Arabidopsis thaliana: one gene and its partners. The protein of the gene in region 3 purifies or fractionates together with the protein of the main gene of each other region. This does not show direct contact. Each region holds a gene or a part of one and is shown on either strand. Other genes may lie near its edges.

Region 1 (5,637 bases), on a different chromosome or scaffold from region 3:
AGAGATCGTGTTTCAGGGAACGAGTTTCTTAAACATCGAGAATCATCCTTTACATGTACACGGACACAATTTCTTCGTAGTGGGAAGAGGATTTGGGAATTTTGACCCGGAGAAGGATCCGAAAAGGTACAACTTGGTGGATCCGCCGGAGAGGAATACTTTTGCAGTGCCGACGGGAGGATGGGCGGCGATTAGGATAAATGCGGATAATCCAGGAGTTTGGTTTATTCACTGTCATCTAGAACAACATACTTCGTGGGGTTTAGCAATGGGGTTTATCGTCAAAGATGGACCTCTTCCTTCACAAACTCTGCTTCCTCCTCCTCATGATCTTCCTCAGTGTTAAAAAATGTCTTCTATTATTATTACCTGGTTTTGTTAGGGTTTTGGTTTCGCTAATTAAGAGTGTTTAAATATAAATATAGATTGTCTTTTTTGGTTTTAATTGTCAAAATGGTTTGTGAATTCTTAATAGAAACATATTTTCCAAATATCCACGTTCTTATGATCACTAGACACAAATAAAAGGGTCTCAAAGAAAGTTGGCCGTCTTCAATTTGAATTCATCCGACAGAGTCTCGATGCTCATCATTTCGTCTCTAAGCCAAACAGTCACCTGACAACAAAAACCATGTTTGTGAGAGAGGCTTGATGCACAGACATTTAATGGAATGAGCAAAACTGGATTCTAACCTGTCCCGTTCTAGCCTCTTCATCACCCACGACTAGTATGTAGTTGTAGTGTGCAACCTGAGCTTCTTGCACCTACTCACAACCACAATCATCATTCAAAATGTATACGGGAACATAAACCTCAATGGTTTGTGCTCAGGGACCTTGTAACAGTTACCTTGTCACTGACGTTTCTATCCGTTGTGTCAACATCAACATAGTAGCCAGCTTCGTGAATTTGATCTCTCACCTGTTTGAATATACGCAAACAAAGGAAATTAGGAAGAGAGATATAATAAGACTCTGCAAGTAAACTCGTTAAGAGTACAGTCATGAATGTATAACCTTGTCTGCGTAGGAACGATAATCCTCTGAAACAGAGCAAACTATGGCCTGGCGGGGACTAAGCCAGAAGGGGAATTTTCCTTTGTACTGTTCCAACAATATGGCAAAAAGACGCTCAACAGAGCTCAACACCGCTCTATGTATCAGCACAGATCTCTCTATCATAGTTTCATTCTCAGCTGAATATTCTAGTTTGAAGCGATCACGAAGGTGAAAATCAACCTGATATTAGGCAACAGCAGAAACGACACACTAAATAAACTGCCAAGAGAAATGCAGGGAATAGAAAAAAAAAAAAAAAAAAGAGTTTGGGAGCCAAACCTGTATAGTAGCACACTGGAATATAGGCACTTTCTTTTATGTTTTAAATAAAAACAAATATAGGCATTTTCTATATATTTACTTTTGTTAAGCTTTTCATTCACTATCTTTCTTTAACATCTTTAAATTAATAAAATGTTTTCTTAATGAATTTAGTTTAGTTTATTTAAGAAAAATAAAACGTTAAATTCTAAAACTTTGATTAAAAATAAAAAATTGGGAGATTTGTAAAACTACCATTTATTTACTACCATTTTGTAACAATACCCTATTATGTTGTTCATTTTTAAAAATATCCCTTCCCTTGAACAAAATGATTATATTACCCTCATCTAATAGGAACATGTAATTGGAAACTGAATTTTTTCCGCCAATTTTTTGGCGCCAAAATTTATTTTTCCCGCCGATTTTTGGCGCCAAAATTATTTTTCCCGCCGATTTTTTGGCGCCAAAAATTTTTTTTTCCGCCAAAAAAATATTTCCGCCAAACTTTTTTCCCGCTAAAAAAAAAATTCCCACCAAATTTTTTTTCGTAACAAATATTTTCTCAGCCGAAAAAATGCTTTTAAAAATCCTTGTAAATTTTTTTTGGCTAGAAATAAATTTACAAGGGATTTTAAAAGGGTTTTAAAAGATTTACAAGATATTTTAAAAGGGTTTTAAAAGATTTACAAGGGATTTAAAAAAGGTTTTAAAAGATTTACAATGGATTTTAAAGGATCTTCTTGTAAATTCTTTGAAAATCTTTTAAAAACCCTTGTACATCTTTTAAAACTCATTTAAACCCTTTAAAAATATCTTGTAAATCTTTTAAAATTCCTTATAAATCTTTTAAAACACTTTTAAACCCTTTAAAAAACCTTTGTAAATTTTTTAAAATCCCTTATAAATCTTTTAAAACACTTTAAACCCTTTAAAAATTTTAAAAAAACCTTTGTTAATCTTTTAAAGCCCTTTAAAATTCCTTTTAAATATTTTAAAACCCTTTTAAAATCCCTTGTAAATCTGTTAAAAACCTTTTAAAATCCCTTGTAAATCTGTTAAAAACCTTTTAAAATCCCTTGTAAATCTTTTAAAATCTCTTGTAAATCTTTTAAAACTCCTTTTAAAATCCCTTGTAAATCTTTTAAAACCCTTTTAAAATCCCTTGTAAATCTATTTCCCGCCAAAAAAAAAAATGCGGGAAAGAAATTTTTGAAAAAAAAATTTGGCGGGAATTTTTTTTTCGAAAAAGTTTTGCGGGAAAATTTTGGCGGGAAATTTATTTTAGAATATTTTAGACGAAAAAATATTAATATTTTATTTTGTTAACCTAAAATAATTTTTAAATAGGGGTAAAATGGTCATTAAAAATTTAAAGAGGGTATAAATGAAAATGGATAAAACAAAAGGGTAGAGTTGAAAAGGGGCATTATGAAAAGGGCATTAGAAAGAATTTTTCAACTTTCTAATGTAAAGTGGTTGAACTTTGTTTACATAACAAAAAAAATTGTTTTGATTAATCAAAGAAATGAATTGACTTTATTATCCATTAAGACAACAATGTTTGAAAAACTCGATTACGTGAATTTGATGAATAGTTTTGTAGGCAAAAATCTAAATAGAGCTATATTTAAAAATATAATTTTGTTTTTTTCCCTCTTTTTTACTTACAAAACGCTTATAAAATGTTATAAAAAATGTTCTATAAAGTTTTAGTATAACTTTTATATATTATTATTATTTGTGATTATGCAAACAAATAAAAGACACAATTTGTTTATTTTCATAAGGCATTTTTGCATGACAGACCGGCTCTGCCGTTGAGACGGTAATTTACTATTGCAAGAAACTCGCAAACGCCAAATAAGGGATGTATGTGACTAAGGAACTATTCTTCGACATAAACCGCGAGGTACGCTTACGTAATCCACACAAGCTCGTCAAACTGGTGAAGGTTAGCCCCAATCCTCGTATTTAACATTGCGCTTTGTCAAAAAAAATGCTATTGAAAAGGGCCCAAAAAATTCTGAATGTTTTTTCAAAGATACATCCTATAAATTGAGGTTCACGGCAGAGGATAGGTTTGTTTCATCCTCATCGGGATGATTCTTCGACATTGGTGGAGCAGCAGAGAACGAAGACGATGAGAAATTTGTAAAAAGTTGTGAGACGGACGTCGATAGGTTTTAGTTTCGGACTTTGGAGTTTCAGGGAGGGAGACCTTGTTTTTAATTTTGAAGCGTACTATGGGCCATGGGGGTGTCTTTTTTCCCAACAAATAGGAATTTTTGATATTTTAATATATTAACTTTAAATTATTATGAAACTAACAAGTTATTACTATTTCATAACAACCATTTATAGTTTATTATAATTAAAGCAATAAACGATTAGTATAGAAAATGTAGATTTTTTGCCCCAAAAAGAACATAAAGATATAATTATATCTATACATATTGGGAAATATATCTAAGGTATTTTTTCAACATTTTATAAAATAGTACTCATTTAATTCATTATTAAAATATTTCAACTAAAAAATAATTATTAAAATACCAAATTTTCTAATTAAACCCCTAAAATAAAATGGAACAGAATTGTTGTAAAGAAAGAAAAAAGATTAGACACTATAGAAAAAATAATAATAAAATAAAGGAAGAAAAGACAAGAATGGAAACAATAAAGAAGATTGTCGAACACTTCAACTTATCAAATATGAGCTTAATTAGGTTAACAATCTTGTATATTGCAAACGATATATCTCTACAGAAAAGATGAGCATTGTGCCTTCGAACGATCTTGTATATTTCAAACGATCCAGAAGAAACCTTTAAAATAGCTCTATTCTAACATATTTCGAACTTGCTTTCTTTTGTCAACAAGCATGCATCTTATATTATTGTAAACGACAAATCTTATTATATGAAGTATGGTTTTCAAAGTTACTAACTCATAAGATTATGCCACATGTCAAGTCTATCGATCAGATGTTGACATGTGTAAGAAAATAATTAACTTTTTTCTTCTTAAAGAAATAGAAATACTAAAAAAGAAATCAATTAACTTTTTTCTTCTTAAAGAAATAGAAAACTAAAAAATAAATCATTATTAACATATACTAATTCATATTTCTATATCTAAAAAATCTTACATTTTATTTTTCTTAACCAAAAGGAAAATTAACAAAAAAAAAAATTATATATGTTATTGGTCAAATTTTTAATATATATGGTATTAACAAATGTTTTATTATTATGAATTATGTTTTGTTAATTGTTAATAATTTTTAATATCTTATTATATAAAGTATGGTTTTCAAAGTTACTAACTCATACGATTTTGCCACGTGTCAAATCTATCAATCAGATGTTGACATGTGTAAGAAAATAATTAACTTTTTTCTTCTTAAAGAAATAGAAATACTTAAAAAGAAATCAATTAACTTTTTTCTTCTTAAAGAAATAGAAAACTAAAAAATAAATCATTATTAACATATACTAATTCATATGTCTATATCTAAAAAATATTACATTTTATTTTTCTTAACCAAAAGGAAAATTAACAAAAAAAAAAAATTATATATGTTATTGGTCAAATTTTTAATATATATGGTATTAGCAAATGTTTTATTATTATGAATTATGTTTTGTTAATTGTTAATAATTTTAATATTAACTAAGATATAGATTTGATCTCATATATATATATATATATATATTATTTTGACATGAAATCATTATCAAGTAAGATGAAGTGTGTAGAATTAAAATCGAGTTTTTTATGAAATAGATAGTTAAATTGTATTACAAAATTGAATGTATAAGATAAAAATTTATTTTTTCTTCTAAATACTAAATTATAATATAAAAAAGTGTGTAGGTTACTATTTAGACTTCAAATATCATCAATAAGACTGAATGGGTATAACAAAATAAAATGCATAAGACTACTATTTTACTATTCAAAATTATAAGAACAATGTATCGACTATTATTTTACTATTCAAAATTTAAATATTATCGATAAAAATTACATTTACATCTTACACCCGCCTATTTAGGCGGGTCTTATCTAGTTATTTATAAATAAAAGACAAGAGAACAAGAAGAGAAAACATTATAATTAGTATAGTCGTACGTCTTTACCCATCAGTTGTGATGGTGGAGCCGATTGGTTGCCAATACTCACGCATAGGCTCATTAATAGGATAGACAATAAGCTCACGAAGGGTCATTGGCTGAACGACGTTAGCGTCAGCTCCAAAGAAAAGATGAGCATTGTGCCTTCTCAGTGTTGTGACGTCCGTCCGGGATTTGT
Region 2 (6,938 bases), 4.4 Mb from region 3:
TGGCAGTGGATCCGATGGTGGTGATAGTTCCAGCAGCGGTAGTTGTGGTGGTGGTTAGTGGTAATAGTTCCGGCAGCGGTGGTTGTGGTGGTGGTTAGTGGTGATAGTGGTAAAGGTAAAATTGTAATAATATATATTATATATCTGTTGTATTCGAAGGTTTTTTTTATAGGTTAGTTTGTTAATTTATAAAAAAAATTGTAGGTTATAAATCCAAATTTCTTATATCTTTTCTCCTATGATCTCTTGAAAGAAAATAGAAATTGATTTTTCTACAGATAAGATGATACCTGAAACAGTTTCTCATTGATGCCGAAGCTCACACATTGTCTATATATAATAACTGAAGGATGTTGCCACTGTCTCTAAGGACAAATGTTGCAAACTTTTGGCAACAGAATCACAAAGCAATTCTTCTGCATTACTAAGACCTTCTTTGGCTTTCCTGAATTTCCCCCTAAATTGCCATATTAGTTTTCACAAAGAAATTGATTCCATCGCGTAGAGCTTCGTAGTCAGGATTCAAGGCTATGCGTGTGAACAAGTTAAGTTCCACACAAAATATAATACTCAGGGTGCTCAATTATGGCCTCCTCGGACAGCATTCTAACAATCATGGCCCAGATTTTTTTCTTCCATAAAATGATACTAAAAGGGGACCAAACATAGAGTTTTCGCAGAATGTAATCGAAACTTTAATATAGTTGAGGCCTAATATGGTTTAATGAAACAGATGAACACTTAAATCTGGGTCGACCCTAATTTGAAAAAAAAAAAAAAAACATCATATCAGAACTTGAATTTCATGAGTCGGATCTCATACAAATTCGGCAGTCTTGGCCTTGAATTCTTCCAGCAAATCCTCAATGCTCTTCACGGAGTGGGCTGCATTGTCTCTCACACGAACACTCACCTGAAAATGTGAAAGTGCAACATACAAATGGTCTTAAAATCAAAATTAAATTAAGCTCGAGAGACTCAAGATAAGGATCGGCAGTCTAACCTGTCCTGTAGCAGCTTCTGTTTCACCCACGACCAGAATGTAGTTGTACTGAGCAAGCTGAGCTTCTCGCACCTACAAACACACCACAATCATCATCACTCAAGTTAATCTTAGGAATCACCAGCCAACCACAGAACAAAACTTGGAACATGAACCGAAATCGTTTACCTTTTTATCTATCTTTCTGTCTGTTAAGTCAGCATCAACATAGAACCCAGCATCTTTAATTTGCTTTTGAACCTGTTGTGTCAAAAGAAAAACCAGAGATTAGACACTGCAAATAAGTCGATAAGAACCACATGTGCTCAGTAAAAGAGTACAGCAACAGCCACAAAAGTAACCTTTTCTGCATATTGCTGAGATTTCTCTGATATAGGACAAACTATGGCCTGTCGCGGACTAATCCAGAAGGGCCATTTTCCTTTGTAATGCTCCAACAATATGGCAAACATACGTTCCACAGATCCCAACACGGCTCTATGTATCATTACAGGTCTACTCTTTTTCGCTTCATCCTCAGCTGCGTATTCCAAGTTGAAGCGAATCGGAAGTTGAAAATCAAGCTGATTTGAGGCCACAAGAAACATAAAATCAACTCCTGCACTGATAACAGCAAGAGAAATGCATAGACAAGAAAAACTAAAAAGAATTTGGGAGTATAACCTGTAAAGTAGCACACTGGAATTTCCTATTCATTGCATCAGAAACTGTGATGTCTATCTTTGGACCATAAAATGCACCATCTCCTTCGTTCAACTGCCAAAACAGCTTACATTAGAATGAATGCAGACTTTGTGAATAAACTCGAGTATTCAACAACAAGTGACAATACCACTAATGGCTTTCCAAAAGCTTCTATAGCTTCTTTGAGATCCGCTTCAGCTTTATCCCATGTTTCCAAATCTCCAAGGTACTTCTCTGGCCTCTGAAATTTAAATTAACATGCAAATAATGGGCAAAGAAACATGTCATGTCAAGACTATAAGATCTGGTAGATGCACTGGTGAAGAAATCATCAAATATGGTACCGTTGAAAGTTTTAGCTCATAGGTAAACCCGAAAACTTTGTACACGTAGTCAATGAACTCCAACACACCCTGCACTTCTCCCTTAACCTGCAAATATATAACATTACTTATAACCAAAAACTGGGAGACAGGGAGCTCCGACATTGCCAGAAAAGAAACATATATCACAAACCTGTTCCGTTGTACAGAATATGTGTGCATCATCCTGAAAAAGTATGCGAACATTATATTAAGTAACAAATATGCATCATGGAAAGGGTAAAATGATAATTAAGTAATACTAGGATACAAAATCTACCTGCTGGAACCGTCGGACACGAGTCAATCCACTAAGTGCTCCACTTGCCTCATTGCGGTGTAACACTCCAAAGTCGGCCAGTCTCATAGGTAACTCTACAGATCAGATTATATAAGCAAAACAATGGTGTCAGTCAAGATACATGATAGACAATTTCTTTAGTAAGATTCATAAAGGAGAAACAGTAGTCATATTGTCCACGGTGATAGGTTACAAATCACAAGTTACACTTTGGAGCAAGTCTCCTGTCATTGAAAAAATCAGCACCTAGTATTTCACAAAAGAGTTTTGATAGTCTGTTATGGAGTGAACTTTAATTTCTACAACTAATATCATTCATAGATCTGTTTTTGATGATATCGAACAGCACAACAGGAACAGAGTCACACCTCTATATGAGCGAACCCTATGCTGGAATATCAAGCAGTGACCAGGACAATTCATAGGTTTGAGCCCGAACTCTTGCTTCTCAATCTACATAAGGAACATTCTGATAAGTCATTCATACGTAGAATATAACTTAGAGAGCTGCTTGCTAAAATAACATAGTCAAGGAGACTCACATTAAACGTAAACATATTATCCTTGTAATTGTCAGCATGTCCGGATGTTTGCCACAACTCCATGTTGTACATATTTGGTGTAATAACCTGCAAGTGCAAGGTTATTTAGCGATCCCCACGCATCAAATATATTAAATATGAGATTAGAGCAAAGAAAAACCTCTGTGTAACCCCTGTGCCAGTATTGGTTCTTAATGAAGTCCATCAACCTGTTATATACACGAGTGCCGAGTGGAAGGAAGAAATAACTCCCAGGGCTGAAGCTCAAGGATGGAGAATAGATATTAGTAAAGTGAAACACAAAGAGGAAACCACAGTATATTAGCAATGAAATACCTGAGTTGATGACTAAAGAAGAGTTCCTGCTTTTGGCCCAATAGTCTGTGGTCATACTTTTTGGCTTCTTCTAGAAATTGGAGATATTTCTGTCGACCAAATGATAGATATTATGCATACTTATGACACAGCGTAGCTGCCATAAATAATTAAGATATTTTGAGTACCTTCAGCTGCTTCTGATCAGGATAAGATATCCCATAAACTCTCTGCAAGCTCTCACGGTCTTTGTCACCCTTCCAGTAAGCTGATGAGGCCTGAGAAAAATATATTGGTCAGCATAAGAAAACAAACTAGAATCTGTAGAGATGTAGCTCCTAGAGATACAGTAGCAAATCACCCTCAAACACTTGAACGCTTTCACAAAGGAAGTATTTGGTATGTGCGGTCCACGACACAAATCCACCAAAGGGCCACATCTGTAGACAGTAATGGTCATGTCTGCAGGCAAACCATTGATGAGTTCAACCTACATGATTAACAGCAGAATAATGAGTCCAAACAACAACTTCATAGAGGACAGAAATGAATGTAAGGTTAGGTGAGCATAACACAATCCAATGATATTTATACACAGCTTAACCCACCTTAAAATTATTCTCAGAAAACATCTCGAGTGCCTGATCCTTCGTCACTTCAATCCTTTCAAATGGTTGTGCTTCCTGAGATGCAAATAGAAGCGAATCAAACCAATAGAAACTATGGCTAAGAGTTGGGAGACATATATCAATCATTTTTCACTAAAAAGGTTTGACAAAATAAGCAAATATTTTATAACATACATTGTAAGAAACCTTAAAAGTAATCGAATCAAAAAGAAGAAACAACACCTTAGCAGCTTTTGCAGCACCTGCTTCGATGCTAGGAAAGTGGTTGTCACTCAGGCCCAATTCACCATAAAATCCATCATAGTAGAAACCCTGCAATAACAAATCCATTACTAACATCAGCGATAGCTTATTTACACACAACACTTCATTAAAATACCAAGAAACACCCAAACAGAGAAACCAAACTTCACAAATGATGGAACATGATATACAAACAAGTAACAATTAGCACAAACAAGCTCCTCTTACCTCTCCTCTCGTTGTGCATGGTCCAATGCACAGCTGACACCCATACTCCTGCTCGAGAGCCTGCACCAAGATCAACCCACAACCACAGTAAACAACTCGTTCGTTCACCACAACCAAAACTTTCACAAATCAGATAAGATCAAAACTCCTTTACCTGACCAAGAATGTGCGCACTAGAATGCCAAAGAGTATCACGACCTTTATCGCTATCAAATTTGAAAAGCTCAAGCTTACAATCACCTTCCAATGGCCTATTCATATCCCAAAGAACATCATCAACAGCCGAAATCAACGCAGAATTAGCCAAACCCTTAGAAATCTGAGCAGCGATATCCATCGGAGTTGTCTCCCACTTCTTTCCTTCTTTCACATTTCCATCTGGTAACGTAACCCTAAACACACACAACACCAGAAAATCGAAGTCAATCTTCAAGGAAACAAAGTAAAACCTTATAAACTACAAATCACACTGATACATAAGAACATCGGCATCGTATTTACTTGATCGGATCGTGTGGAAGAGACTTAAGATTCTCGAGTTGATTCGCTTGGATCTGCTCGAAAAGCTTGATACGTTTGGGGATGACGGCGGAGAGATACGCTTCATCCTTAGGATGATTAGCTGCCATTGTTGGAACAGTACAAAACGAAGACGATGAGAGCAATGGTAGAGACGAAGAAGAAGTTGTGAAACGACGAATAGAGCGAGCCGTAAGACGAAGGAGCATCAAAATTTGTTGTCAAAGGTTTATGTTATCTGAGTGTGACTAGGGTTTTTTTTTTCTTCGTCAGGGGTGAAAGAAAACAAAATCGAACCAAACCGACCAAAAATTGGGTGATTTCGGTTTGCTGGTTTTTGAAATCGATTGTTAAATTATCTCGTTAATTCTCGGTTTAGAAAAATAACTAAGGTTTAGCCAGTTTAGTACTTTTTGTTTAGAGTAGTAATGGTGGAAGTGGAATACTTCTTGAATTTTTCACACCAAAGTCAATTTTTTTCTTTACTTTATATAAAGAATTTATACACTGAAAGTGAAACTACTATACAAATATTTCAATGTAAAAGCTCCAAATCAATTTGAGAGAGGGTCGAAGGAGAAGAGTCGTCTTTGTTCATCAGTGGGATTTCTCAGCAATCTGCAGAATATCAATGAGGCCGCAACAACTGATAAAAGAGACAGAACCGCGAGAAACCCGAAATGGGAAGCGTCATTCGCCGCTATGGCTACTCCGAGCATAAGCGATTCAGCTAGACTTGCCACTGAGATCTCCGTTGCGCCGATGAGATTAGCCTTGGATGATGGAATGCCGGTTTGAAGTATTTGAGCTCCCACAACGCCGTAAGACATGTGACCTAGCCTTGATAATACCTGCATTTGTTTGTTACCTTTTAGTCAACACCAAAACCGCATATTACTGGTCGAGAGAGAGAGTGAAGAAACAACTTACGATCATGGACAAGAAGAAGAAGAGTGGGCTTTTATGGGATAGAGAAGAGCTACAATACACAGCAACAGCAACGGCAAGGAGTGAAGCTTGGAAAAACAATCCTACTGCACCCGCCTGCATCGTTTTAAAACGCAAACGCAATAACATTAATCAGCTTGAACGCAATACAAGCTCAAGATAACAAATGGCGGGAAAACATTTCACCTTTAAAATGCCAACTCGTTTGACCAAGTTTGCTGATAAGAAGGTTGCGGCGACGCCCATAACAGCGCATAATCCACTGAAACCACCAATAACTGATGGATTCACACCTGTTGAAAAAAGACAGATTGGTGACTAATTTGAAAGAGTAATAGGTAATAGCACAAAGACTCTCGCAAGATTAATTACGATTTTCATCCAAGCACTAAAGAAAAGTAAGGGACCGAGTCGAAGTAGCATACATCGTTGTGTTAGAAATGCAGTCATCAAGCTGCCTGGGGTGAGGACGATGTTAAAGTAGAGAAGGACATATGCGAGGCTAGCAGGAAGAACTGGCTGTTGAATATATTCTTTCCATCCGAGCTTGATAGTTTCCATGCCAATATCAACTGATGAACAAAGCAAATGGTATTTTGTGATGTCTACTACATGCTCAAATCATAAATTATGCGTATCCAAGTAGTATAAAGTAAAAGGTTTCCTTACAAATACTGTCGGTATTAGTACGAGATCCTTCAGCAGAACAGCTGTTCAAGGAGCATTTAGGACGGTCCAGAACTCCAGAGGAGAACTTGTTGGTCAGCCATATAAGAGCTGTCTGAAGAAAACAGATTTCTTCTATTAGAAGTGCAAGATGGTAAGAAGTCCCATATAAATTGGTAAAGCGCAAGTGGAATTGCTTCTAGGATCTGAAGCAGAACAGTATCACTCCAATGTTGATGACAGCTTATTTATCTAGTTAAAAGAACTAATAATACTCCATCTAGGCTAAGCTCCAATTATCCAAAACCTAAACGAGAAAGACTGCCTTTTTAATTGAAGAAAAAAGAATTCGAAACTTGAAACATAGGAAACAGGAATGATTCTATTACACATAGTTCAGCCTCGTACAACACAGCAGCTTTGTGTTTCCCTTATTTAGCTTGGACGAAAGAAGAATAACCACAAGTTTATAGGTGCTACTTACCATGGTTGGCAAAG
Region 3 (6,563 bases):
ACATCGAAAGTTCGGAAAGTGATCATTAACAAGGCGGTTCCTTTTCATCCATCCGAGGTTTGCCCGTATTGTAAAGCTAAGCTATGGAGCATGCTACAAGCTAAGATAATACCTCAGAGTGCCTGCATTCGTTTGGAAGCTTATGAAGACTGCATTGAGTATTTTGTTTGCCTTAATGGACATTTGCTGGGTATCTGCACTCTCGCGCCTTTGTCTGATTCAGAGGATGCAATTCCAAGCGAAGATAACAATCACACAGAGAAGAAACAAGGTCTTTTATCTTTCCTGTAAATTACAAATCAGCTTTTTTTGTCTGACAACAGCAAAGTTCTAACTTGTTTTTTCTGTTGTTTTTTTTTGCAGACAATGGCTTTCCTAGAGAGAACGTATTGAAAAGGAGAAATTCTTTGTTGGGTGGAAGTGAAAATGGACCTCCGCCGCAAAAACGACTGACCAATCCTAATCAGTGAAACATCTGTAAATTTGTGTACTACTGCTAAATTTATTGTATCTGCAGAGATTCTTCAACATTCATATACAGTCAAATTATGATCAACAATTTTCATAACCTCTGGACCTTTGAGACATCAGTACAATGACTCATAAGCTTATGATTTATATAAACTCTCACATTGAGATAAATATTATCAGTCTTTTGTGACAAGTAACTCACTAGAAGTTCTGTACTGAAAAGTCTGAATCTTCTTGGGCTCCAAAAGGTTGCATTTTCAACTACTCTATTTTGAGAAAGCTGCTTCTTCTTGTTCAGCATCTGCTGTTTCTGACTCAATCTTCTTGAATGTGAGCTTTTGCTGAGGTAACTGGCCATTGGAGAACGCTGTGACCTCGGTATCGATCAAAATGCCATCTTCCTCCTTGAAATCTCCTCTCAAGATACCCTTAGCAAGCTCATTCTCAATGTTTTGCTGTATCACACGCTTAACAGGTCTAGCTCCATAGTTTGGATCATACCCTAGGCTTCCAAGAAGATCGACTGCTGCATCCGTGATGTTTATCTTCATTTTCCTGTCTGCAATTCGCTTCTGCACACGTGCCAGCTGTAGAAAGAAAGATTCAATCAGGGTTTTGAATAACAGTTCTTTGTATTGCCATGGAAAAAAACTTCAACTCTGATCAAATCCTTTTTTAAAACAGTCTTATCTTCCTTAATTTTGTGAAGAGATGGCCAAGAAGTAATCTTTCGAATGCTATTAGAATCAAAAGTATGTTATACGTTCAATGGAAAAGTAGATTGTATTAGATGTTAAACTATTCACTAACGAGCATTTTAAAGCAAAATCCAATCTAACTATCCAATTGCCTCCAGAAGCTAACTCTTTTCGATATCAGACTTTTAATGTCATCAGCTTAATCAATTTTGCAATTTTCAAATGAAAGAAACATACCTGTAACCGGACAATGCGGTTGATCTGCTCGCGGTCAAGAGGTTTGAAAACTATATACTCATCAACCCTATTCATGAATTCAGGACGAAAGATTGACCTTGCAGCATTCATCACTCTCTCTTTAATCGTTTCATAAGAGAGCTCATTAGCATCATCATCTGTGTTGTTCAGAATAAACTGCGAACCAACATTTGAGGTCATAATAATGACGGTATTGGTGAAACTCACTGTACGTCCTTGAGAATCTGTGACTCGCCCATCGTCCAAGATTTGGAGAAACACATTGAAGACATCTCCATGAGCTTTCTCAATCTCATCAAATAGAATGACCGAATAAGGCCTTCTTCTAACCGTTTCTGTTAACTGTCCTCCTTCTTCGTAACCAACATATCCAGGTGGAGCTCCAATGAGCCTAGACACCGCATGCTTCTCCATGTATTCACTCATGTCAATTCTCACTAAAGCTTCTTCAGTGTTGAACATATAAGAAGCAAGTGCTTTGGCTAGCTCTGTTTTACCAACACCAGTTGGTCCCATAAACATGAAACTAGCTATAGGACGGCCTGGATCCGAAAGACCAGCTCTTGATCGTTGGATTGCTTCAGCTACCGCAGTCACTGCTGGGTTTTGACCGACTACTCTTTTATGCAATTCTTCTTCCAAATGTAGAAGCTTATCTCGTTCAGACTGTTGAAGTTTTGATACCGGGATTCCAGTCCATTTACTCACAATCTCGGCGATATCGCTACCCAAAACCTCTTCTCTGAACATAGATTTCCCAGAGCTTAAGTACTCGTTCAGCTCTTTCTCTGCTTCATTAAGCTGTCGCTGCAATGAGTTTAAGCTTCCGTATTTGAGCTCAGCTGCACGGTTGAGATCGTATTCACGTTCCGCCTGCTGGATCTCGAGGTTTACTCGATCAATCTCCTCTTTAATCGACTGAAGACGGGACATAACAGACCTCTCGTGCTCCCACTGTTCAGTTAACTCAGCTTGTTTCTCCTTTAATAGCACTAACTCAGTTTCAATTCGATTCAATCTCTCTCTAGAAGCTTTGTCTGTATCATTGGTAAGTGAAAGCCTCTCCATTTCAAGCTTTATTACCGAACGGTCAAGCTCGTCAAGAGCTGTAGGTTTCGAAGTGATTTCCATTTTCAATTTGGCTGCCGCTTCATCGACCAAGTCAATTGCTAGAACACCAATTACCAAATCAGTTAGTAACACTGTCTATTAATGAAGATAATATAATAAAATGGGAATAGCAAAGTATAAACCTTTATCGGGTAGAAACCGGCCACTGATGTAACGGTCTGAGAGGATAGCAGCTTCCACTAGAGCACTATCTGAGATGCGAACTCCATGATGTAGTTCATACCTTTCCCGCAAACCACGGAGAATAGAAATCGTGTCTTCAACCGTAGGTTGATCAACATAAACCTGTTGAAACCTACGCTCCAAGGCTGGATCTTTCTCTATGTATTTCCTATATTCATCAAGCGTGGTTGCACCGATACAACGTAACTCGCCTCGGCCCAGCATCGGTTTCAGCAGATTACCAGCATCCATGGCCCCATTAGTCGCACCTGAAAGCAAAAGAATCAATTACAAATCATTGCAAGAAAATGTATAAACCGTTTCCAAACAATCAAAGGAAATTTGCATACCTGCACCAACAACTGTATGGATCTCATCGATGAACAAAATGATTTGGCCTTCTGAGTCTGTGACTTCCTTAAGCACAGCTTTTAGTCTGTCTTCGAATTCTCCCCGATACTTTGCTCCAGCAATGAGAGCACCCATATCAAGAGATATCAACTGAAAAGAAACCAAAGAACGGTTAAATCAGTGGTTATCCAAATTGTTAAAAACAGAAAAAGAAACAGTTTGATAAGTATTTGAATACCTTTCTGTTCATCAATGCTTGAGGTACATCTCCTTGCACAATCCTCTGAGCAAGTCTGATTCAAAAGTGGAGATGCAATATCTTAGCATTACATACACATATGTGCAACTTCTGAATCTTTTGATGATAACTTACCCTTCTGAAATTGCAGTTTTACCAACACCTGGTTCACCGATCAACACAGGGTTGTTCTTTGTTCTCCTTGAGAGAATCTGAATGCATCTTCGGATCTCGTCATCTCTACCTATCACAGGATCTAGTTTTCCCTCTCTTGCCATTGCTGTCAAGTCTTTTCCATACTTCTCCAACGCCTCATACTTGCCTTCCGGATCTGTCAAACATGATCATTAACTCTCTTATCCACTAAATTATGCAATCAAATTATAAACTATCAACCTCAAATGTGGTTACTAACCTTGGTCAATGACTGATTGTTTCCCTCTAATGGATTCAATTGCAGATTTCAAGCTCCTCTCTGATATCTGAAAATCCTTAAACAACTGTTTCCCAAACCGCTTATCATCAGCAAAAGCAAGAACCAAATGCTCCACTGACACATAAGAGTCCTTTAAATCTTTCTTAAACTGTCTTGCTCTCTGGAACAGAGCTTCCAAATCACGCCCCAACATCGAACCAGCAGCATCTCCATACACCTGAAATCACAAACTTAATTTTCATTAGCCTCACAAACAAAGAAACAACAAATATCAAACCCTTAAAGACATTACATTACCTTTGGTTGGCGTTGAATGAACTTCTCTGTTGCTTCTAGAACCTTTGTGTTATCCACACCGATCTTAGAGAAAATCCTACGAGCTAAACCATTCTTCTGCTCCAAAAGAGCTTTCATTAGATGCTCTGTCTCCACAATCTGTTGCTTATTCTCTTTTGCAACATCTGGTGACGAAACTATCGATTGCCACGCCATTTCTGTGAATTCTTGCTGTGTAAGCTATACAAACATCAAACCCAAATTAGCAATCCAGTACAGTAAAATCCTTCCAGTGTCAATTCCAGATTTGTGATTACTTAAAAATCCTAAAGTTTCAGACTTTACCCTTCCATTAGAAGAAGAAGCTTCACATCGGACAACGAACGGCCGATGATCAAGCCGCCGTGTGAGCCTCGCGCTCTGCTTTAATTTGAGAGATTTGAAGGAACTAGGCTTCGCCGGAAAAGCCGCAGAAGGTTGAAGATGAGAAAACGAATAAATCCTTCGAGTCTCCGTTCCTACACTGACTACACCACTAAACGCCGCCGTAGCAGTCGTCGTAGCCGTCGCCATTAGCTCGGAAATTTAAGAACAGCAAGCAATTGAAAAAGGAAGATCAAATACAACAGGTAGTTTAGCACAAATCCACCAAAACGGCGAGATGTTTACTTAAGAAATCAGCAAAGAGAAACGCTTTTGCTTTCTCGTGTAGTTTTAGCGAGAACCAAGAGAAAAGGTGAAGTAGAAAACTAATAAAGAAGAAGAAGAAGTTGCTAAACGACGCCGGAGTCTTCGTGAACCATCGGGATGTACTTACTACTGAGACCTTCTTCTGACACGTGTTCACTCTCAGAAAACTTAGGATTTTTCGAAGTAGAATTAATATGAACCGTCCAAAAATATAGCAGAAAATAATAATTAATATATAGTTTCCCGAATTTTGGGCCGTTGATAACGAGATTGGCCCACTACGACTGTTAACAGAAACCAAACATTGTTAACCACGGAAATTATGTCAAGTTATATTTCGTGATGATTCACTTTATTCCGTGCAAATTTGTTTGTTACCTAATAATTTCCACGGTGTTGCGAATCCGAAATACAATAGAAACCAAACCTCAAGCGATCAAAAAGCCAATCATGTCATGTCATGTCAGAAAAAAGAATTACAAGGAACAAGAGCAAAAGGTATTGAAGAAGGCTCAAGAACAGAATGTGAATCTCCCAAGCTTTTTTAACTCTCTCTACTTGTCTTGCACAATTGTTAACAACGAGCTCCAAAACATAAACAGACACATTTGTTCTGTTTCAGATCACCTTTAGGCTTCTTCTTCTTCTTTTCTGTTTTAAACCATTAGCAAAGCAAATGATCTTCAGATTCTCATACAAATGCATAACCTTAACAGATGAGGTTTTCAAACAGTATATACTATGAACAATGCTTAAGAATCTAAAGATTACCTTTTTCAGTAACTTGATGTTGAATTATAACATGCATTGTGGTGACAGCACCTGAGAAATTGCCGACGGGACTCCTGCAATCTCCAACCGTTTTGTTGTTCTCCAATATTCTACCCGCGCTTATCAGTTTAACATCTTTCACTGTCTTTGGCCCGTTCTCCTTATCTGCTCACATTCATACAAACAAGCAAAACCATAAAGGGTTAATCAATTTCATATCTTTCAGTGTCTTTGCCACATTCTCCTTAGCTGCTCAAAATTATACAAACAAGCAAAACCATAACACCAATGACTCACAATCAGGTTTTGATATTATCACAGATATAGGCGAAAAACCAATGCAGGTCCTCATGGAGAAGCGAGAAGGCGTTCTTGTTAAGTCCAGTGCAGTGCAGGACTAATGTAACTAGCCTAGGGGTGATGCAGGGAAGTGTAGCTTTGCCAGCTCAGTAATAGACCTCATCGGTTAGTTGAGAGCTGAAGGTTTAAGAAGCTGATTGGTCTAGATAATTTGGGGGCATTGGGGAGAAAGAAGAGTTGTACAGAAATTACTCTCTCGTTTGCTCTAATTCTGTTTCAGTCTCTTCTTACGTTTGGTCATTGATTTATCTTTGTAACCAGTTTCTCAAGGATCAATAAAGAGGGCAATGAGTTTCTGAACCTAACAAAAGGCTAAATATGAAAGTTTCTTTACAATGCAATTCTAAAGTCTAAACCATTCTAGTCATGGAGAAATCGCCAGACCGATAAAGCTTAACGCGGCTTTATCTCATTGCATAAATGAATATCATCAATACATGTAAAGCAGAGTAAGAGCATAGACACTGACCTCTTGGCCACTGAGCAACAACGGTTTCTTTCAATGTAGCAACGGTAGTAGCATCAGGAAACAATTTAGGACCGATATCAGAACCATCGTTAAGCCGGAACTTAATCTCTAATTGATCCTTCACCTCTGCCATATATCTCTCTAAAGGAATGACCTAACAAGAACTCAAAACGAGACAGTGTATCAAGAAGTTCAACCGAAGCAACCGAGATTTGAGCTTTAAAAAACTCTAAATTGAAACCTCGTTTGCTT
Region 4 (5,382 bases), on a different chromosome or scaffold from region 3:
TATATGAATTTATATCATCGAGTTTTCTTTTTCTTTTCAATTTACTTTTTTCTGAAACTGATGTCATTATGATTGCTAGGGTTTCCTCGTTGAGTTAGATATGTATGTCACCTTGATTATTATTGTTTAAGACAATACGAAAGAACAACCCAAAAAGATAAGCATAACTGTATATACATATTTTATTATGGAAGATAATGAAACGAAACGTTGATCATTGTACAAAGATGTTGAATTAATCAAATTTTGGATAAGATTAAGACACCCACTAGAACAAGAATGTATTAATTTCTGATTGGATGTGTGTATATATTTCCTAGAATCACTTCATATGAAAATAATGACGCGAATCGTTGAATATTTTTCAGTGGTGACTAGTTGATTAATTGTTCAAAATAGTTGAAATTTATCAGATATAGATATGATAAAAGATCAAAATAGTGATAAGACTTTAGAGAGCGAGCATACAGAGTCAATAAAGTGCCGATAGATGCAAATGCAGATAGGATTAAGACTTGTTTTTACTTATAGCATCTTTTAAAAACACTCAGACAAGTTTGTGAAAATAAAATGATTATTCAACTGAAAATTTTCATTAGTGGTGTTAAAAAATCAATTATGAGATCATAACATCTTTCGTTGGCTTTGAATTAAACTTGAATTCAAAGAAAACATTGCGTCTTAATCCAAAAATAACACTGTCCCAAAAGTCGAGATTTTATTTTGATAATTGGTTGATTATACTTCAATAGTACATTTTATTCCAAAATGTGTCTTGGTACAATGAAAAAGACCATTATAAAAGAAATACATTCATCATCAACAGAAAAATGAAATTTTAAACCATAAACATCGGATCTCAGAGGAAGTTGACTGTCTTGAACTTGAATTCATCAAGCAAACTTTCGATGCTCATCTCTGGCAAGTCTTTACGGCCTTCAGGGTCCTCTCTGAGCCGAACTGTCACCTGAAAATGTTACAGTCCCAACAAAACAAAAAGATCAATCAATGTTTGAGAAGCTCGATGGTCAAAGAGATATGAATCATGAGAAAAAAGTGAGACACTCAACCTGTCCAGTTGCAACCTCTTTTTGACCTACGACCAGTATGTAGTTGTATGGTGCATCCCGAGCATCTGCCACCTACAAACACAACAAAATCATCACACTCGTGAACACATATAACTATGCATTTTCTTTGCAATTTCTATATATACATTCATATCTACCAAGAAAAAACGACTTTATTTTATAATGAAATTTAGACAACTAGCCTTTACGAGATAAAAATTTATGGCCTTAAATAATCTCACTTGTATAATATGCTCAAAGACCTAAACATTTGGAAAGCTTGTAATCATAAGAATTTACCTTTTTACGGAGGCTTCTGTCACTTTCATCAATATCAACATAGTACCCGACTTCATTAATCTGTTTTTGTACCTGTTTGAATGTACGTGCAAAGGAAACAAAAAGCTTAGAGATTAGGCACTGCAAGAATTGCAGGTGTGAGGGTTCATAAATAAAGAATGTAAGAAAACCTGTTTGGCATAGGAACTACAATCCTCTGAAAGAGAGCAAACTATGGCCTGGCGGGGACTAAGCCAGAAGGGCCAAATTCCTTTGTAATGTTCCAACAATATGGCAAACATACGCTCAATAGATCCCAACACCGCACTATGTATCATCACAGGTGCCTCCATTTCGTTTTTTTCACTTAGGTATTTCAGTTTGAAGCAAGCCGGAAGTTGAAAATCAAGCTGGTACGAAGCAAATAAGGATCAAAATCTTATTGTAAGAGATCAAGAACAAAAAACAGAGGAAAAAACTAAAAAGAGTTTGGGAGCCTAACCTGTATAGTAGCACACTGGAATTTCCTATTCCTGGCATCAGACACTGTTATGTCTATCTTTGGGCCATAAAATGCACCGTCTCCTTCCTTTATCTTCAGAAAACATCACACTTTAGAATCTCTCTATGAATTATAAAGTTTTGAGTAGAAGCATCAGAAAGTAGTGACACATACAACCCATGGCTTTCCAAAATCATCTAGAGCTTTTTCAAGATCATTTTCAGCTTTAGCCCATGTTTCCAAATCTCCAATGTGATCCTTTGGCCTCTGAAGTCGAAACCAACATGCAAACAATGAGATACGTGACCATACCATGCAAAGTATATTAGGTTTGGCAGAGAAGAAATGTGAAAATATCCTACCGTTGAAAGCGTTAGTTCATAGGTAAACCCAAATATTCTGTAAACATAGTCAATGAAATCCAACACACCCTTCACTTCTTCCTCAACCTGCAAATAGATAAGAATATTTCTATAAAATAAGAAACTGGGAGGATAAGGAGCTCCAACGTTGCTGCATAAGAAACAAATATCACAAACCTGATCCACTCTACAGAATATGTGTGCATCATCCTGAAAACAAGTATGCACAATGTTATTTAATTAAGCAACACGCGCACAAAAGGGTTAAAATCAAATTGACAAACTACTAAGTAAAGTAAAGTAAAGGGGTAACTTCTTCACTTCAACATGGCAAATAAGCTGCTTAACTAATCATGATATCATTTTGAATGTCGCTAGTCTTTATATAAAGCAATCAATTTTTAAGTTTTAAACATTTTACCACAAGAAAAGTCCAGAAAGATGCAAACATACCTGTACAAACCGTCGGACACGGGTCATTCCACCAAGTGCTCCACTGTCCTCATTTCGGTGTAACACTCCAAATTCGGCCATTCTAATGGGTAATTCTACATTCCATACCGCAAAACAAAAAAGATGTCAGCAAAAGATATATATGCAACACTTGCTTCGATGTTTGGAAAATGATTGTCGTTTAATCCCAGCTCGCCATAATAAAGTGAATCGTAATAGAAGCCCTGCAATAACAATTACCATCAGAGATAGCCCGTCTTTGCAACATTACAGATGAAATACCAAGAACCAAACAATATTGACTCCTCCTTTTTTTACTCTTTTAGCCAAAGAAACATAATTAAGGGGAAAAAACACAGAACAAAGCTCTTACTTCATCTCTGGGTTCGCAGGGTCCAATACATAGCTTGCATCCATACTCCTGCTCGAGAGCCTGGCCTAGAATGTGGGCGCTAGAATGCCAGAAAGTATTACGGCCTTGGTCGCTGTCAAATCCGAAAATCTCTAAGGAACAATCACCTTCCAGGGGCCTATTCATGTCCCACAAGACATGATTAACCGAAGAAACCAGAGCAGATTTTGCTAAACCCTTAGAAATCTGCACTGCGATGTCCATTGGAGAGGTCTCCCATCTCCTTCCTTCTTTCTCGATACCGTCGGGGAGAAGAGTAATCCTAAGCAGTGAAACAAAAACCAGAAATCAACTAATTGCAAAACCCTAGCTTAGCAAACAAATTGATGCACCCTAGTGAAAATGATGAACAATTAATCATAAACGTATTTACTTGATTGGATCGTGTGGCCGAGATTGAAGCTGCTCAAGCTGCTCGGCTTGGATTTCCTCGAAGAGCCTGATACGCTTGGGGATGACGGATGAGAGATAAGCCTCATCCTTGGGATGATGATTATTCGCCATCGATGGATGAGCAGAGAACGAAGGACAAATAGAAACTATAGAATATAGAAGATGACGTTGAGAGCAGAGGAGTAGATTATCCCAAGGTCAACTTCCCTTTTATAGCTACAACACTAAAGTGACTTGCGGGCCAAGCTTTAGAGCTTTTCCTTTCATTTTTTGTAATAAGGTAATAACAACAAGTGGCAGATGCACCTAACTTTACATAATTTCCTTTTGTATTTAAATAATTTTCTACAATATTTATAATTTCTTTTCAATTGAATTGTAGTTTTGTTGATAAAATGCAAATTAAAAGTATATGTATATAACCTATTTTGGCGTGACTTTCTTTGATTTAATGTTTCACATTTATATTTGTTGCATTCTCAATAATATCCAAATGACCATTATTAGGCCTATTAATGTGGAAGCTATAAAATCAGTTTGAAGTGGGCTTATTATTTGTAGTTTTGGGCTCTTAAAAGCCTATTAATGATGAAGCTAGAATCAGTTTTGCAACGTTCTCGGATGGTTTCGTGTTACAAAAATGTAGTCGGGTTCGATTTGGTTGAACCGGGTCTGGTAGACAATAATGTAATATTGGAAAGGAAAACGGTTCAGGCTTCGTGGCGATGAGCATCAACCATCAAGGCTTTGCTGGATGTCTTCAAAGCTCAAGAGTGCCAACTTTATGTATACGAGGATTGTTCAAATATTAAAACCAACCAAAGAAGTGGTCTTTTGATGTTTAAGCTTATCGTAGGATGTTTCAGCTGGACTTTGTGTCTCTTCTTTATCTCTACCAAAATAATATCTAATCACTCTCTCTCTTTTTATTTATTTAACAAGATTGTTTCGACTTAAAAGAGTCATGTAGTGACTGACACCTTTCCTATTTTTACAAGCAAGCATCATTTTAAAAATTTTAAAATTTACTTTTCTGGAATAGAAAAACCAAAAATAAGCAAAATCATTAAACTAAATTGCCCAAAAAAAGTTAAAAACCCAGAGAAATACTCAAATTAACCTAAACAATATCTCTTATAAAATCATTATTTCTAATTTGGTAGTATTCACAAAAGATATGCATGAGCTGATTTTGTTTGGAATCTCATACTAATGGTTGCATGTAAAAACAAAAACTAAAAAATCTTTAATAGTATTATATAGGAAAAGCTATAATCATTATACAAAAACTGTATCATCATCATCATCAAGCTTGAAATCACTCTCTTTCATCCTTCCCCGCGCACTGTGTCTCGCTCTCTCTCTCCCACATTTCCATTATCTCCTTTACTTTCTTTCTTTGAGAATGTCTTCTACAACAATCGGCGAGCACATCAGACTCCGACGAGCTAGAAACCAAACAATCCGTCATCTCCACGCCGCCGACGATGATCCGCCGCTAAGCCACGTCGTTCTTCCGATTTCACAACCTAATCGCTTCTGTAACTCCGCAATGTCTTCCTTCTTTCCCCTCCCGACTTCCTCCTCCAACGAAAGCACGAGGAAGAAACCGTACCAAACGTCGTCGTTTCGAGGGATGGGTTGCTATGCCGCAGCAGCAGCAGCAGCTCAAGAGGTTTCTGTTCCCTCCGTCATTCGCTACTCCGCGGATTTGGATGCCAGAATTAGAAAAGATAAGAAGAAGAAGAAGCATAAGCATAAGAAAAAGAAAAAGAAGAATAAAGGAAGCTACGAAGATGGTTCGATTAGGATTTTAAGCGAAGAAGCTAGAGACGTTATTGATGTTTGGTGCAGACCTGGATTAGGCTTCTCCACGGATGCTGTAATTGGTCGATCGGTTGATCCTCCTCG

What was found.
Region 1: the proteins of CLPB3 (region 3) and AT1G18130 fractionate together in Arabidopsis thaliana (co-fractionation; one large-scale study listed by BioGRID). This does not show direct contact.
Region 2: the proteins of CLPB3 (region 3) and AT5G26830 fractionate together in Arabidopsis thaliana (co-fractionation; one large-scale study listed by BioGRID). This does not show direct contact.
Region 4: the proteins of CLPB3 (region 3) and AT1G17960 fractionate together in Arabidopsis thaliana (co-fractionation; one large-scale study listed by BioGRID). This does not show direct contact.

Annotation. Positions count from the first base shown.
Region 1 is NC_003070.9:6,233,695-6,239,331, reverse strand, and holds AT1G18130 (Class II aaRS and biotin synthetases superfamily protein), read right to left. Parts: upstream 3,438-5,637; coding exon 3,390-3,437; intron 1,240-3,389; coding exon 1,018-1,239; intron 923-1,017; coding exon 851-922; intron 766-850; coding exon 694-765; intron 617-693; coding exon 533-616; downstream 1-532. Other genes in the region: LAC1 (laccase 1), read left to right, coding at 1-346.
Region 2 is NC_003076.8:9,435,448-9,442,385, reverse strand, and holds AT5G26830 (Threonyl-tRNA synthetase), read right to left. Parts: upstream 5,200-6,938; 5' UTR 5,036-5,199; coding exon 4,809-5,035; intron 4,700-4,808; coding exon 4,462-4,699; intron 4,368-4,461; coding exon 4,308-4,367; intron 4,149-4,307; coding exon 4,059-4,148; intron 3,891-4,058; coding exon 3,816-3,890; intron 3,698-3,815; coding exon 3,569-3,697; intron 3,486-3,568; coding exon 3,396-3,485; intron 3,318-3,395; coding exon 3,229-3,317; intron 3,150-3,228; coding exon 3,053-3,149; intron 2,980-3,052; coding exon 2,893-2,979; intron 2,804-2,892; coding exon 2,719-2,803; intron 2,425-2,718; coding exon 2,330-2,424; intron 2,237-2,329; coding exon 2,204-2,236; intron 2,119-2,203; coding exon 2,032-2,118; intron 1,929-2,031; coding exon 1,836-1,928; intron 1,760-1,835; coding exon 1,667-1,759; intron 1,567-1,666; coding exon 1,345-1,566; intron 1,244-1,344; coding exon 1,172-1,243; intron 1,076-1,171; coding exon 1,004-1,075; intron 914-1,003; and 3 more. Other genes in the region: AT5G26840 (uncharacterized protein), read left to right, coding at 1-98; IREG3 (iron-regulated protein 3), read right to left, coding at 5,381-5,677, 5,757-5,870, 5,961-6,067, 6,200-6,346, 6,444-6,555, 6,925-6,938.
Region 3 is NC_003076.8:5,013,662-5,020,224, forward strand, and holds CLPB3 (casein lytic proteinase B3), read right to left. Parts: upstream 4,687-6,563; 5' UTR 4,595-4,686; coding exon 4,367-4,594; intron 4,262-4,366; coding exon 4,043-4,261; intron 3,963-4,042; coding exon 3,725-3,962; intron 3,641-3,724; coding exon 3,445-3,640; intron 3,365-3,444; coding exon 3,310-3,364; intron 3,222-3,309; coding exon 3,071-3,221; intron 2,990-3,070; coding exon 2,681-2,989; intron 2,597-2,680; coding exon 1,407-2,596; intron 1,059-1,406; coding exon 738-1,058; 3' UTR 551-737; downstream 1-550. Other genes in the region: EDL1 (EID1-like 1), read left to right, coding at 1-271, 364-470; MUB2 (membrane-anchored ubiquitin-fold protein 2), read right to left, coding at 5,286-5,362, 5,483-5,647, 6,312-6,444. UniProt on the Arabidopsis thaliana protein: Molecular chaperone essential for chloroplast development and seedling viability. Mediates internal thylakoid membrane formation and confers thermotolerance to chloroplasts during heat stress.
Region 4 is NC_003070.9:6,180,156-6,185,537, forward strand, and holds AT1G17960 (Threonyl-tRNA synthetase), read right to left. Parts: upstream 3,652-5,382; 5' UTR 3,583-3,651; coding exon 3,452-3,582; intron 3,341-3,451; coding exon 3,040-3,340; intron 2,891-3,039; coding exon 2,818-2,890; intron 2,762-2,817; coding exon 2,667-2,761; intron 2,424-2,666; coding exon 2,391-2,423; intron 2,301-2,390; coding exon 2,214-2,300; intron 2,119-2,213; coding exon 2,026-2,118; intron 1,945-2,025; coding exon 1,852-1,944; intron 1,760-1,851; coding exon 1,541-1,759; intron 1,443-1,540; coding exon 1,371-1,442; intron 1,143-1,370; coding exon 1,071-1,142; intron 968-1,070; coding exon 860-967; 3' UTR 710-859; downstream 1-709. Other genes in the region: AT1G17970 (RING/U-box superfamily protein), read left to right, coding at 4,877-5,382.